Linked DNA regions of Saccharomyces cerevisiae S288C. The gene in region 1 interacts genetically with each later gene. Each region holds a gene or a part of one and is shown in the gene's direction. Other genes may lie near its edges.

What was found.
Region 2: mutations in UPS2 (region 1) and PHB1 together harm fitness more than expected from each alone (negative genetic interaction), as found in Saccharomyces cerevisiae (5 studies listed by BioGRID, with this or other methods).

What each region holds. Positions count from the first base shown.
Region 1 is NC_001144.5:498,292-501,870, reverse strand, and holds UPS2 (Ups2p), read left to right. Parts: upstream 1-1,600; coding exon 1,601-2,293; downstream 2,294-3,579. Other genes in the region: DPH5 (diphthine synthase), read left to right, coding at 1-611; APS1 (Aps1p), read left to right, coding at 822-1,292; ubiquitin-40S ribosomal protein eS31 RPS31 fusion protein, read right to left, coding at 2,466-2,924. UniProt on the Saccharomyces cerevisiae protein: Required for mitochondrial cristae morphogenesis and MGM1-processing. Controls the stability of mitochondrial phosphatidylethanolamine (PE). With UPS1, controls the level of cardiolipin in mitochondria.
Region 2 is NC_001139.9:754,672-758,104, reverse strand, and holds PHB1 (prohibitin subunit PHB1), read left to right. Parts: upstream 1-1,652; coding exon 1,653-2,516; downstream 2,517-3,433. Other genes in the region: CCR4-NOT core subunit CAF130, read right to left, coding at 1-335; PEX4 (E2 ubiquitin-protein ligase peroxin 4), read right to left, coding at 658-1,209; FHN1 (Fhn1p), read right to left, coding at 2,855-3,379. UniProt on the Saccharomyces cerevisiae protein: Prohibitin probably acts as a holdase/unfoldase for the stabilization of newly synthesized mitochondrial proteins. Involved in mitophagy; may act as an adapter for ATG8 that supports mitophagosome assembly.

The sequences.
Region 1 (3,579 bases):
GAGCTAAACGTGAGGCAATTCCCGTCGAAATTATTCATAATGCGTCCGTTATGAATGCAGTTGGGGCATGTGGCCTACAACTATACAATTTCGGTCAAACCGTTTCCATGGTTTTCTTTACCGATAATTGGAGACCAGACTCATGGTACGACAAGATCTGGGAAAATAGAAAAATTGGCCTTCATACTTTAGTGTTATTGGACATCAAAGTTAAGGAACAAAGCATTGAAAATATGGCCCGTGGCAGACTAATCTACGAACCACCAAGATACATGTCTATCGCTCAATGTTGTGAACAATTATTAGAAATTGAAGAGAAAAGAGGTACAAAGGCATACACTCCTGATACTCCAGCAGTCGCAATTAGTAGATTAGGCTCGAGCTCCCAAAGCTTTAAGTCTGGTACCATAAGTGAGTTAGCCAATTACGATTCAGGAGAGCCACTTCATTCGCTTGTCATCCTCGGCAGACAATGTCATGAATTGGAGCTGGAATACCTGCTAGAGTTTGCCGACGACAAAGAAAAGTTTGGGAAAGATGTGGCAAATGACCAAGAGTACTTCAAACCTGCGGCATGGGTCCCACCCACAGAAGACGACAGCGACGAGTAAAGGTAATGCACACGCTCATGTGTAGTTTCTTTTTTATAATGTATATTGAATAGATCCTTTCAGTCGGGTAACAATTCGATCCCAAACGAATCGGGCCCTAACGATATGTGTAAAAATGGCAATGAATGAACAAGAAGTTATAACAACAATTTCAGCCAAGAACAAGAGCGATCCTGGAGGAGATTATATACGGATACACAGGTACACAAGATGACGCAATTAAAATATTTGTTGCTGGTTTCTAGGCAAGGAAAAATCAGATTAAAGAAATGGTACACGGCAATGTCCGCTGGTGAAAAGGCAAAAATTGTGAAAGACTTGACACCTACGATATTAGCAAGAAAACCCAAAATGTGTAACATCATCGAGTATAATGACCACAAAGTAGTATACAAGCGATATGCTAGTCTATATTTTATTGTTGGGATGACGCCCGATGTTGACAATGAACTGCTGACCTTGGAAATTATCCATCGGTTTGTCGAAACAATGGACACATATTTCGGCAATGTTTGTGAGCTAGACATTATATTTAACTTCAGTAAGGTCTACGATATCTTGAATGAGATGATTATGTGCGATGGCTCCATCGCAGAGAGCAGTAGGAAGGAAGTACTGCACCATGTGACCGTGATGGACACCATGGAGAGCAACGATAATCTTGAAAGGGTATTGAGTTAGGACCACTAAAAAACAATGGAATGAAGAAGAAAGGAGAAGAATAAGATGAGAAGGGGGCAAGGGGCCCTACTATTATTACCGTCTGTCGCAAAAGCCGTTGCCCGGACAAAAATATCTTTTGCGAGCATCGGCACAACGTTGATTGGTCAGAGCGGTAAAAAGGAATGAATGTGAAAAATGTAAAGAATATATAGGCGATAAAATTATCATGCGAAGTGATGTACATATTTTTGAATTTAAGCATCAATAGGACGAAAGAATAGATTTCAGACTAAGATAAAATAATCGAGAATAATTAAAAGACGATAATGAAATTGTTTCAAAACAGTTACGATTTCAACTATCCATGGGACCAGGTAACCGCCGCTAACTGGAAAAAATACCCAAATGAAATATCTACACATGTCATCGCAGTGGACGTTTTAAGAAGAGAATTGAAGGATCAAGGTAAGGTCTTAGTTACTGAACGGTTGATTACTGTAAAACAAGGTGTTCCCAAATGGATCATGATGATGCTAGGAGGGACCAATATGAGTCATGTCAGAGAAGTTTCTGTGGTAGACTTAAATAAAAAGAGCTTGACCATGAGAAGCTGTAATTTAACGATGTGCAATCTATTAAAAGTCTACGAAACTGTAACATATAGCCCGCATCCCGATGACTCGGCTAATAAAACACTTTTCCAGCAGGAAGCCCAAATTACAGCATATGGATCCATTAGAAAGCTGTGTAATAAGATGGAAGATTGGTCAGTTCAAAGGTTTTGCGAGAACGCTAAAAAGGGTAAAATGGGATTCGATGCTGTTTTGCAAGTATTTAGTGAAAATTGGGAAAAACATGTTGATGACTTGAGCAATCAACTTGTCAGTAAAGTCAATGAAACCATGGAGGATGTTAAAATATCTGCAGGTACGCTTCTTAAAGGAACTGAAAGGAGCGGCAGAACCATCTTACAGCAAAATATTGACTTGTTTAGAGACGCATACAACCACGAAAATTAGAGATACAAATTCCTTGATCCCGCATGGCACTGCATACTACTTATATTCCTCTACTGTCTATCTATTCATTTGTTCTTTTGTTGTAAATAGAAAAGTAAATAATGACAATATTAAAAGCCTTTTTCAAAATTTAACGATCAATTAAAATATATAAGTTTTAAAAATACTTTACTTAAGCGTTAACCTTGTAGACGGAATGACACTTACCACAGTACAATCTGTCCTTGTGGTTAGCCAAGAAAACACCAGCACCACAAGTTGGGTTGCTACATTCTCTTCTCAATTTGGTAACCTTACCTTCAGCATCGACCTTGTAGTAGGACAAGACAGCCAACTTGACCTTCTTGTGCTTGTGCTTGATCTTCTTTGGGGTGGTGTAGACCTTCTTCTTTCTCTTCTTACCACCACCTCTCAATCTCAAGACCAAGTGTAGAGTAGATTCCTTTTGGATGTTGTAGTCGGACAAAGTTCTACCATCTTCCAATTGCTTACCAGCAAAGATCAATCTTTGTTGGTCAGGTGGAATACCTTCCTTGTCTTGGATCTTGGACTTGACATTGTCAATAGTGTCAGAAGATTCAACTTCCAGGGTAATAGTCTTACCGGTTAAAGTCTTGACGAAAATTTGCATCTTGGCTTGTCGGCAAAATTAAAAATTAACTGCTTCTTTCTTACCAAGTAATCTTGTGACTTCTTTGTATTGGAATAAAAGATAGAAGTAAGGAAGTTTCTGATATAACGAACATCTCAAAATATTTAAACCATTTAATAAGTCTAAAAGTATCTAGTTTTTCATTTTGATGAGTTCCCACCGCTTGAAAAAGTGCGCCCGGGCCAAAAAAAAAAGTTTGTACTAAAATAAATGATAAATGATAAACCCAATTCCTTACAGGATGCACGGAGGTAAACAGGAAAGATATCTCAAGAACTTCTCGTTCATTAACCCCAGGTAGATCGCACTAAAGACTTCACCACTATTGATAAAGGTTTTGTAGAATATTTATTATCGATACCTTGCGGTTGCAAATTAATATACCCATCAAATAATTAACCCCAACCAAGTTTAATTTCTCTCCTTTCAACAAATGGGGAGGCTCAAATGTTTTTACTTACTTGAAACACTCTTTTGATTTGCTACAAAATAATCAAGCAGCGATATTTAATATGAAATTCTACCTTTAAAATTACTCCTATGACTCCACATGCATGGGGGAGGGGTAAGATGCGCAGTCAAATCAGAGAGAAATGTTATGTAGCAAAGATAATGAGTGCGTCTGAATAAAACT
Region 2 (3,433 bases), on another chromosome or scaffold:
CTAGAACTGTTATTTTCAAAGGACTGGGCCCAGGATTTTCTTTCCTTCAAAGAAGAAGTCTGAATTAATCGTAAAGCTGACTTCCCTGAAATTGTTGTGAACAACGTAATTATGAGAGCCTCAAGCAATAGGTTAGAGCATATTTTCTGATCATTAAACATGGTTTCATTATATAAGATCTTCTCCAAATTTTCCACCGATGGAACATAATTTTTATCTTTCAGTAACTCTTGTAAGGGAATAAAGTCCTTAAAATGAACCGAATCACCTGAAGAATCTTCACTGGCTAAATTTTGCCTTTCAGCATAATTAGTAGCTGCTTTCTTTTTCGTCATCACTTTCTTACGTAAGTATGTGGAGTTAAGAGAGAAAAAGTGTTTGAAAAAAGCTCCTCAACGATCTACTGGGCTGCCAAAATAAAATTCAGCGTCAATGGAAAAGCTAACTAATGTAGATATTGCGTGCACTACTTGTCAAAAATTCGTGCTCCTTATTAATATATGTATATGTATATACAAATGTGTCAATACATCAATAGTGCAATTTGTTAAAGTATTTGTATTCATAAATTGGCGCTGCCCGGGTAAGGTAGAAATTGCATCAGATAAAAGTGAGGGCCCATTGTTTGCCATTCGAACACATCCATCCTACGTGGTATCAATGGTTGTTGATCCGCTCTCTTTCTGCTAGGAAGTACTTTACAATCCCCTGATAGGCACTCATATCGCCACAGCGGATGATATTACCAATGTCTACGTCAAGTGGAGAATCACAAACGGGTTCCCTTAGGAGTCTCCAAACAGCATGAACACAGTGTAACAAATCCCATACAGGAGTCCACTCCTCTGGTTTAAGGATGTTCAGACATATTTCTCCTGTGGCTGATTTAACATTGCAGTGCAAAATATTGTTCTGCATAAAACTTATCTTTGGTGGATTCATGGGGTAGGAACTAGGGACTTCTATTAGTATTCGAAACTGATGATTTTCATAAGGTGTGTCTGACGGCCCAGAAATTATAGCTTCCCACTTGCTCAAGTCGGTTTCGTCAATCGGGTTAAGTGACTCGATTATCCCCCGGTAGGGGTTCGCTATGGGGTCATCACTGGCCAATGTTTTCAGTATGACTTTGTACTCCTTCACGATCCTCGACATACATGTATCAGACGTATAGCTCCTACGATTCTCAAGAATCCAGAAGTTTGGCATATTATGTATAAAGGCGATGATTATGTATATTTTATGTTGTCTCCAGTAAGTGGCAGCATAACCCGGCCAGTCTGCGCTGCATGCTGTGAAGCAGTAATATGCGATATATACCACATATATTCCGCTTCCGTTCAGGATTTCGAAAAGAGAAACTTCAGTGAATGACTATGACTACATAGTTGGAGTCTTAGACCATTGCAAATGAGTTATTCAAGTATGAGAGATCAACACTGATGAGAATAAACTCGTCTTCATGATGATACGGGTAACGCGAATGTATCGCATCAATAAATTTCAGGGAAAGGGAGTTTGACGATCTCATGGATGCAACGGTTGAGGTATATAATATTAAGCAGAAAGAAGAGGAAAAAAAATAAATCGGTAAACCAACCATCAACGGTACGAAACTTACATTCAAAATCAATAATTTACTTTAGAAAAGAATGTCTAATTCTGCCAAACTTATCGATGTCATCACCAAGGTGGCGTTGCCCATTGGTATAATTGCTAGCGGGATTCAGTACTCCATGTATGATGTGAAGGGTGGTTCTCGTGGTGTTATTTTCGACAGAATCAATGGTGTAAAGCAACAGGTTGTGGGTGAAGGCACTCATTTCTTGGTGCCTTGGCTACAGAAGGCGATCATATACGATGTGAGGACGAAACCAAAGAGCATTGCTACCAATACTGGTACGAAGGATTTGCAAATGGTGTCATTGACCTTGAGAGTCTTACATAGACCAGAGGTCTTACAGCTACCCGCAATATACCAAAATTTGGGTCTCGATTACGACGAAAGAGTGTTACCATCTATCGGCAATGAGGTTTTAAAGTCTATAGTAGCTCAATTTGATGCTGCTGAGTTAATTACTCAGAGAGAAATTATTTCTCAAAAAATCAGAAAAGAGCTTTCTACGAGGGCCAACGAATTCGGTATTAAGTTGGAAGATGTCTCTATCACTCATATGACGTTTGGTCCCGAATTCACGAAAGCAGTTGAGCAGAAGCAGATTGCACAGCAAGATGCCGAAAGAGCCAAATTCCTTGTCGAAAAGGCAGAGCAAGAGAGACAAGCTTCTGTTATCAGAGCTGAAGGTGAAGCAGAAAGTGCTGAATTCATTTCAAAAGCCTTAGCTAAAGTTGGTGATGGTCTGTTATTGATTAGAAGATTAGAAGCTTCTAAGGACATCGCTCAAACATTAGCAAACTCATCTAACGTTGTCTATTTACCAAGTCAACATTCTGGTGGTGGTAACAGCGAGTCTTCGGGATCACCAAATTCCTTGCTTTTGAACATTGGCCGTTAAGTCTGGAAAAGCTATGAACACAATAAACTAGGGGAGAAAATTTTTTTTTAATCATATTAGAAACCTGTATATATGGGGGATAACAACGCCAATAACATATTCCATCTTTCCATTTAGTTACCAACACGAATACGTATGCTATCAATATCGTAACTTAGTTTTTTATCATTTATATATATACATGGATGAGCCTACGAAAAAACTAAAGCACATTCATGTATCACCATAATATTATTTTAGAAAGAACTTTTTTTGTTAAATTTATTTAATGCAAAGGTTATATAAAGAACGATCAACGAAAATTGTACGCGAATTGCCTTTTTTTCAGTCCAGTAGGCTTAAACCTGGGAAATTGTAGGTATGCCCATTTGTCTTCTTGCCCTCCTTCTGCTGAATCCGGTATTAGAGCCAAATCCACCATTTTGCATCATACCCATCGTGGCCACAGTCACTTTGATGAGGAATAGAAAACAGGAAAAGTAAAAAAACGCAACAGCAGCCTGAGATTGATGACATCTGGAGCTTGAGCCTTGTATGATCTTATTCTGTTCCAGATATGTTTTGTTTTTACACGAATGGCATCTTATACCTACAGCCAAAGCGGTGGCTGCTACAAACGTAAATATGAAATTTAAAAAATCCAAAACAAGCAAAATTGCTGGGTATGTTAATGATGTCCAGAAATTAGCCAAAAACCCATATAATGAATCCGTAACCAGACCATAAACGGCGGCAAACATACAAAAGTTCACTCGAGAACTATGCTTTGTCTGTGTACCTATCAGGCCGCTGATTAGACCTATGGATATAATAAGAAAAACAGCATTTATGATGCGCACTAAATTATCTGCAGCTGATAGCATTTATTATTGTTGTTGCTTTATTGTTATTTAAAATTCCAATGAATATGAAGCCTC